2 linked regions of the Macaca mulatta genome follow. The protein of the gene in region 2 binds, or shares a complex with, the protein of the main gene of each other region. Links are inferred from orthologs where the notes say so. Each region holds a gene or a part of one and is shown on either strand. Other genes may lie near its edges. The genes, in order: EPS15 and AP2A2.

Evidence for each region.
Region 1: the proteins of AP2A2 (region 2) and EPS15 are in contact, whole or in part, in a crystal structure (PDB 1KYU), measured with the Mus musculus proteins. The link is inferred for Macaca mulatta from reciprocal best matches to the Homo sapiens genes AP2A2 and EPS15. Residues at the interface, in XP_006536218.1 of Mus musculus: Phe442, Phe443, Trp446, Lys447, Asp487, Pro488, Val494, Arg511; in NP_031969.1 of Mus musculus: Asp629, Pro630, Phe631, Lys632.

Annotation. Positions count from the first base shown.
Region 1 is NC_133406.1:189,272,227-189,276,037, reverse strand, and holds part of EPS15 (epidermal growth factor receptor substrate 15), read right to left. Parts: coding exon 3,703-3,811; intron 2,809-3,702; coding exon 2,718-2,808; intron 1,242-2,717; coding exon 1,206-1,241; intron 1-1,205. UniProt on the Homo sapiens protein: Involved in cell growth regulation. May be involved in the regulation of mitogenic signals and control of cell proliferation. Involved in the internalization of ligand-inducible receptors of the receptor tyrosine kinase (RTK) type, in particular EGFR.
Region 2 is NC_133419.1:884,860-888,670, reverse strand, and holds part of AP2A2 (AP-2 complex subunit alpha-2), read right to left. Parts: intron 2,389-3,811; coding exon 2,251-2,388; intron 1-2,250. UniProt on the Homo sapiens protein: Component of the adaptor protein complex 2 (AP-2). Adaptor protein complexes function in protein transport via transport vesicles in different membrane traffic pathways.

The sequences.
Region 1 (3,811 bases), on a different chromosome or scaffold from region 2:
GGCATGGTGGTGCGCGCCTGTAATCCCGGCTATTCAGGAGGCTGAGGCATGAGAATAATTACTTCAGCATGGGAGGTGGAGGTTGCAGTGAGTTAAGATCACACTACTTGTACTCTAGCCTGGGCAACAGAGCAAGACTGTCTCAAAAAAAACCCCAAAAAGACAGTTTGAAATGCTGTAGAATCTAAGCTGACTATTTTTTATTTCACAGACTCCTTTGCAATTTTGATAAAAGATATAGAACCTTTCACCTAATAAACTTATTTTTTAAAATTAACATATAATTTCAAGGGATCCAATTTTAAGTTTCCTTATTCTACGCTATCATAACTAAAGAAAACACAATAAAAACTTCTAAATGTATTTTTCTCTCTGAGCTCAAAGCTAACAGCCAATAGTTTAGAACAGGTTTGGGATGCAAAAACTAAACGGTAAACAAGATTTGCATTATTCTAATGAAAATTCCCAGAAAAAGAGTATCTTAAAAAGCCTGGTGTTTTAGTAATTCTTCAAGATCCTCTTCCTCTAATCACATGTGTGGGCTATAATCATAGGAAAACAAAATTACATTCTAAATCCCGAAGTAGTATAGATCATTATGTTCACCAAACCTTTAGTTAGTAAGGAGGAATCAGAATAAATATTAAAAGCACCAAAGTGTAAACACTAATGTCATTTTTAAAAAGGTAAAGCTACTGGGCATAGTGGCTCATGCCTGTCTGTAATCCCAGCACTTTGGGAGGCTGAGGTAGGAGGACTGCTTGAGCCCAGGAGTTTAAGATCAACCTGGGCAACACAGTGAGACCCTGTCTCCACAAAAAATTTTTAAAAAAATCAGTCAGGTGTGCTGGCATGAGCCTGTAGACCTAGGTACTCAGGAGGCTGAGGCAGGAGGACTAGTTGAGCCCAGGAAGTCAAGGCTGCAGTGAGCCATGATCACACCACTGAATTGCAGCCTGGGTGACAGAATAAGACCCTGTCTCAGAAACAAAAAACACCAGGAAAAAAAAAAAAAAAAAAAAAAGAGAAGTAAAAGTAAAGCAACAATTTATTAAGCAAAATCTCAAGAATTTACTACTTTCTTTCTGAAAATGCCAGGCACATAGAGTATCTTACTGGGGCTTCAGTTTCAGACCCAAATAACGTAAGTTTATTATTAACCGGAAATGAATGAAAGCTAAGATGAAACTCAGTAAGATACTGACCGATTTTTCCAAAAGGATCATCCTTGAAAGGATCACCTGTGATAAAATAAACAGAAAGAAATCCAAATAACAGTATTTACTGTGATGACACCGTTACTTAAAGGGTAACTTTAAAACAAAAGCAAAGCAAAGTTTATTTCAATAACTTCACTTCAAAGTAGATAAAATAAGGAATGTCATTGACCTTATTAAATGTACAGCCAACTATACTTACCTTGATCACAAGTTGAGGTTACAGATGGAGGGGAAGATGTTACACCCAAAATTTTACTAACAAAACCTCTACTCTTCACAAGAGTACTGGGAGGGTGTTATTATCACCAGTTCAGAAATAAAGATACTGAGCTTTACTGAAGCGGGGAAAAAAAAAAAATTCTTACAGGACTGAAGAGTCCAGAAATAAATCCTTACATTTATGGTCATTTGATTTTTGAAAAGAGTATCAAGAACACAAAATGGACAAAGGACAGTCTTTTCAACAAAAGGTGTTAGGACAACTGGATATCCACATGCAAAAGAATGAAGCTTGACCCCTATCTCACATCACATACAAAAATAAACTCAAAATGGATCAAAGATCTAACTGTTAACAGCAAAACTATAAAACTCTTAGACAAAGAGAGCATTAAATCTTTGTGACTAAGGTAATAGTTTCGTAGATGACACCAAAAGCACAAGTGATAGAAGAAAAAATAGATAATTGGACTTCACCAAAATTGAATAAACACTTTTCCAAAGAAGACATACAAATGGCCAATAAGCATCTAGAAAGATGTTCAACATTAGTCAGCAGGAAAATACAAAGCAGGCCAGGCGCAGTGGCTCACGCCTGTAATCCCAGCACTTTAGAAGGCTGACGCAGGTGGATCACCTGAGGTCAGGAGTTCAAGACCAGCCTGGTCAAAATGGTGAAACCCAGTCTCTACTAAAATACAAAAATTAGGCCGGACGTGGTGGCTCACGCCTGTAATCCCAGCACTTTGGGAGGCCAAAGTAGGCAGATCATGAGGTCAAGAGATGGAGACCATCCTGGCCAACATGGTGAAACCCCACCTCTACTAAAAATACAAAAATTAGCTGGGTGTGGTGGCAGGCGCCCGTAATCCCAACTACTCGGGAGGCTGAGGCAGGAGAATCACTTGAATCTGGGAGGCAGAGGTTGCAGTGAGTCAAGATTGTGCCACTGCACTCCAGCCTGGCAAAAGAGCGAGACTCCATCTCTAAATACATACATACATACATACATACATACATACATACATACATACATAAAGTTAGCCGGGTGTGGTGGTGGGCGCCTGTAGCCCCAGGTACTCAAGAGGCTGAGACAGGAGAATTGCTTGAACCCAGGAGGTGGAGGTTGCAGTGAGCCGAGATTGTGCCACTGCACTCCAGCCTGGGTGACAGACTGAGTTGGTAGGCTATTGAAACCAAAGCCTTAATCCTTAGTTTATATATTACAAAGCCTTTTTTTTGGGTAAAACTATAATAGAAAAAAAAAAGAGTACTTACTGCCAACAAAAGGGTCAGACTGGAAAAAATCCAAGTTTGTATCTGCAACTGGATCTGTCAGCGAACTTGAGTCTACATTAAATGGATCTTCCTAAAAATAATTTTTAATTAAAATTTTTTTTTAGAAACCAAAGTTTTAAAAGGTAACATTTTAAAATAAAATAACATATATTCAGGTCATACACATGCTTTGCAAAATCAACTGATGGGCCGGGCACAGTGGCTCACACGTGTAATCCCAGCACTTTGGGAGGCTGATGTGGGTGGATCACAAGGTCAAGAGAGAGAGACCATCCTGGCCAACATGGTGAAACCCCGTCTCTACCAAAAATACAAAAATTAGCTGGGCGTGGTGGCACATGCCTGTAGTCCCAGCTACTTGGGAGGCTGAGGCAGGAGAATCGCTTGAACCTGGGAGGTGGAGGTTGCAGTGAGCCGAGATCGCGCCACTGCACTCAAGCCTGGGCGACAAAGTGAAACTTAAGTCTCGAAAACAAAAGAAAAATCAACTGATGGTAATGTAACAAAATATTTCTCTAGTCATAAAGTACATTTAACACGTTTCTCTTTCCTTCACCTAAAATAGTGTATAATTCATCTAAGGAAAACAGTATAAGGACATTTTTAAAATATATCATTTAATTTTTAGAGATAAGGTCTCTCTATGTTGCCTAGTGCCACCAGCTCAGGCTCAAGCAATCCACCTACTTCAGCCTCCTGAGTAGTTGGGACTACAGGCACTTGCCACCACATCCAGCTATTAAGAACATTTATTTATTATTTATTTATTTTATATGTATAAATTCAAGGGGTCCAAGTGGAATTCTGTTACATCACTATATTGCCTAATGGTAAAGTCGGGGCTTTTGATGTATCTGTCATCTGAATAATGTATATTGTACCCATTAAGTAATGTCTGATAATTCACCTCCTCCTGTCCTTCCACCCTTATGAGTCTCCAATGTTAATATAGAATTATTTTTACCTCTTTTGAATGTCTGTTATTATCGAGTTCAGAACAAACTTTTTCAGTAACAGCTGTAGTCACTTCATTTTCATCAGTCACACCAGAAGGCAGTAGTTCAGGACTACTT
Region 2 (3,811 bases):
AGCAGGAGCCAGCTGAGGATTACCACTCATCACGTAGAGCCGCTCATCACGCAGAGGGGCGAGAGCAGACACCGGGCTGAAGAATGCCCAGGACCTCAAAATCTGCTGTATTCAGAAGCACACTGCTTCTGTCTCTGTTCAAACCACCCAGAATGACGACCAGGAACGAGGCTCTTGTGACGGCCGTCCCCAGAGCCAGCCCCACCCCACCACAAGTGTTGAGACCAGGCCACACTGCCCCAGCCAGGCCAGAGAGGGTCCACTGGCTGCAGTCAACAAGCACCTGCCTGGCCACTCTACAGACAGCCCTGCCCTACACCAAACGCTCCCCGCGGTGCCTGCCCTTGGGGCCTCCTGCCGGGAGTCGGCCCACCCCTGTTCCTGGGCCCCTCAACTTCCCAGGCCCACTGCCCTGTCCTGAAGGGTGGACAGTCCAGCGTGAGAGTCACCTCCTGGTCCCCGCCCTCTGCAGGTCTGCAGTGCCTCACTGAAGCTCGGTCTGTGATAATTTCACCCCTCAGCATTGAAGTCCCAGTACCTGGGCCCCTCCGTTCACTAAAGACCCCTGAAAACCTGCATCTCTCACCTGGGCATAGCCACGCCCACCCGCCCAAAGCGACCTGTCACCTGCCACCAGCTCCGACCATGGCTCTCGGCAAAGCGCCCAAGGAGGCCTCGAGCTGTACTTTGCCCAAAAAGACAAATAACAAAGTGTTTTCTATACAATGGAGGCACTGTCTCAGCCTCAACAAGAGGCTGTGGTCCTGGCTGGTGACAGTGGCCAACCCCACATGAGGACACCCGGGCCTGCCCCTTAAACCCCACCATCCACAGACAGTGAGCCTGAGAGGCCTGTGAGCATGGTGGAGGCCTCAGGCCCTCTCCTCTGCTGACCATGTGGCCTCCACAAGGGTTCCCTCCCTCAAGTTTTGGGTCATGCTCAGTCTTTCATCCTTTCTCTTTTTTTTTGAGATGGAGTCTCGTTCTGTGCAATGGCGCGATCTCGGCTCACTGCAAGATCCGCCCCTCCCGAGTTCACACCATTCTCCTGCCTCAGCCTCCCCAGAAGCTGGGACTACAGGTGCCCACCACCACGCCCGGCTAATTTTTTGTATTTTTCGTAGAGATGGGGTTTCACCGTGTTAGCCAGGATGGTCTCGATCTCCTGACCCCGTGATCCACCCGCCTCAGCTTCCCAAAGTGCTGGGATTACAGGCATGAGCCACTGTGCCCTGCTGATGCTCAGTCTTTCACACATACAGGTTCGATGAGCTTCAGCAATTTGGCAAGTATGCACGCCTACTTTGTGGATAAAAACAACATGGGAAATTAAGCTATGGCCTAGATCCCGTCCTTCCCAGAGATCAAGAGAGAGACACAAAAAAAAGCCAAGCCACAAAGGATTAATTCAAGGGCTCAAAATGCAACATAATTAAACAAATAAAAGAATTTTGCCCACAGGAGTCTGAATTTGTACAGCCCCACCGTAGACGGCTACAGCCTCACTCAGACCTGGGGCTGCAGTGCCACCACCGAAAGGACAGGCAGGCCACAGAAGCCACGCGGGGCAGGTGTTTTAGTTTTCTTTTTTTTTTGAGATGGAGTTTCACTCTTGTTGCTCAGGCTGGAGTGCCGTGGCAGGATCTCGGCTCACCACAACCTCCGCCTCTGCCTCCCAGGTTCAAGCGATTCCCCTGCCTCAGCCTCCGGAGTAGCTGGCATTACAGGCATGCGCCACCATGCCCAGCTAATTTTGTATTTTCAGTAGCGATGGGGTCAGGGGTTCTGCATGTTTGTCAGGCTGGTCTTGAACTCCCAACCAGGTGATCCACCCGCCTCAGGCTCCCAAAGTGCTGTGATTACAGGCGTGAGCCACCGCACCCGGTCAATAGTTATTTTCAAGACCAAATGACTCTACCAAAAATGAGTTGTTGTTTTTTTTTTAAAGACAGGGCCTCGCTGTGTTGCCCAGGCTGGAGTGCAGTGACATGATCTCGACTCACGGCAGCCTCAACCTCCTGGCCTCAGGTGATCCTCCCGCCTCCACCTCCGGAGTAGCTGGGACCACAGGCGCCACCACACCCAGCTTGAAAATGTGGATTGAAATGCAGAGGCAGAGGAGCCTTGTATCCAGCATCTCATGGGTTCTCAATCAAGCCCTGCGGGACAGAATCACAGAGCACGAAGGAAATTCCGCCCCTGAGATTCGTGCTTGTGGCAGGAGAGGACTCAGAGGCCACCAGAACTCACAATCTCTTCTCGGATGGAGTAGTCGGCCGTCTCCAGATAGCTCAGCATCTCGGCCACGATCTGTGGGGCATTGCTGCGGTCGCACATGGCATAGAGGAGGTCCACGGCCCGCTGCCGCACGCTCACGTCCCGCTCGGTCTGGGGAACAAGGCACAGAGTAAGAGGCCGCAGGAGCAAGGCCCAGGCTTGGGGATAGGCCCGGCACCGCATCTCAACGCCCACCCTGAGCTTCCCTCACACACACATCCAGGTCCAAGGATCCGACCTGCACTCGGGCCGCATGCGTCTGGATGGCCCGGAAAAGAGTTCCGCCTACTCACCCGGCCCTCCCACCGCACAGGCCGGTTTCGCTAGGTCCCAGCGCACTGCCTGGGTTCCCTCCGCTCGTCCGCGCCTCCCTCCGCACAGGCCAGCTTCGCTAGGTTCCAACGCACTGCCTGGGTTCCCTCCGCTGGCCCGCGCCTCCCTCTGCACAGGCCAGCTTCGCTGGGACCGAGCGCACTGCCTGGTGTAGACGGCCCGGAATAGAGTTCCGCCTCCTCGCCCGCGCCTCCCTCCGCACAGGCCAGCTTCGCTAGGACCGAGCGCACTGCCTGGTGCAAGTTATTAAGGCCTCGCTTCCATGCAGCTGAAGACCCCGCTGCCTCCGACACTGCCGTGGAGCTGCCCCAAGGCAGGTTCTCACGCCCCACCCTGGAGCCCGTGCTGATGAGCCCCCGCTGATGAGCCCCCAAGAGGCTCTGCAGCATGAGAAAGCCCGAGGTCTGCATAGCTCTGCTCCCAGCAAACGGCAGGAGAGTGGGCACTGCCAGCCCTAGCACTGGCCGTATTAAAATGAGCGTCCAGCCTTTCTGACAATAGGGATTGACTAAAACACACACCGAACCAGGACCAAGAAGAATCCAGAATACCAAACGCCCACCACGAGCCCCTCGCACGCCACCCAGAACACCCGTGAGCTGCACACACACGTGCGGAGGGCCGGGAGCGGCCCTGCCACAGCCTGAGGCTGAGCCAGACGGGAGACGTGCAGCTCCCCACCTCCCACCTCCTAACACATGCACACCGGTGACTAAGGACGTGGCAGACACGTCCTACATGGAACGAACCCTCGGGGTCGCTCTGGAGTCTCACGAAGGCTGGCAATGGCCAACCTCAACTGGGTCTTCCAACTCTGAAATTTTAACCCCCAAATAAAGTGAGTTTCCTGATTTTCTCAGAGATGAGGGAAAAAATTTCATCTTTCTACCAAGAAGAACTATTTCTACTTGTTGGCATTATGCACATGCAGGATGGCACACGGGGACCTGCCCCCAGCAGGGAAAGGGCTGCCAGGGACTCGTGTGCTCAGCCTAACCAGCAGAGCAGGGCCGTCCTGGCCATCGCCAGGCAGCATGGCCCTCAACTGTGGTGTGACCTCCCAAGAGTAGGTGACAGGCAGAGGCCAGCAGCACCAGCCACCACCTCCATCTCTGCGGGGAGTCAGGAAGCACTGCGTCCCCCCAGCCTTCACAGGAAGGCCCACAGCACCTGCTCAGGGAGTGAGCAGACCCCGAGGACA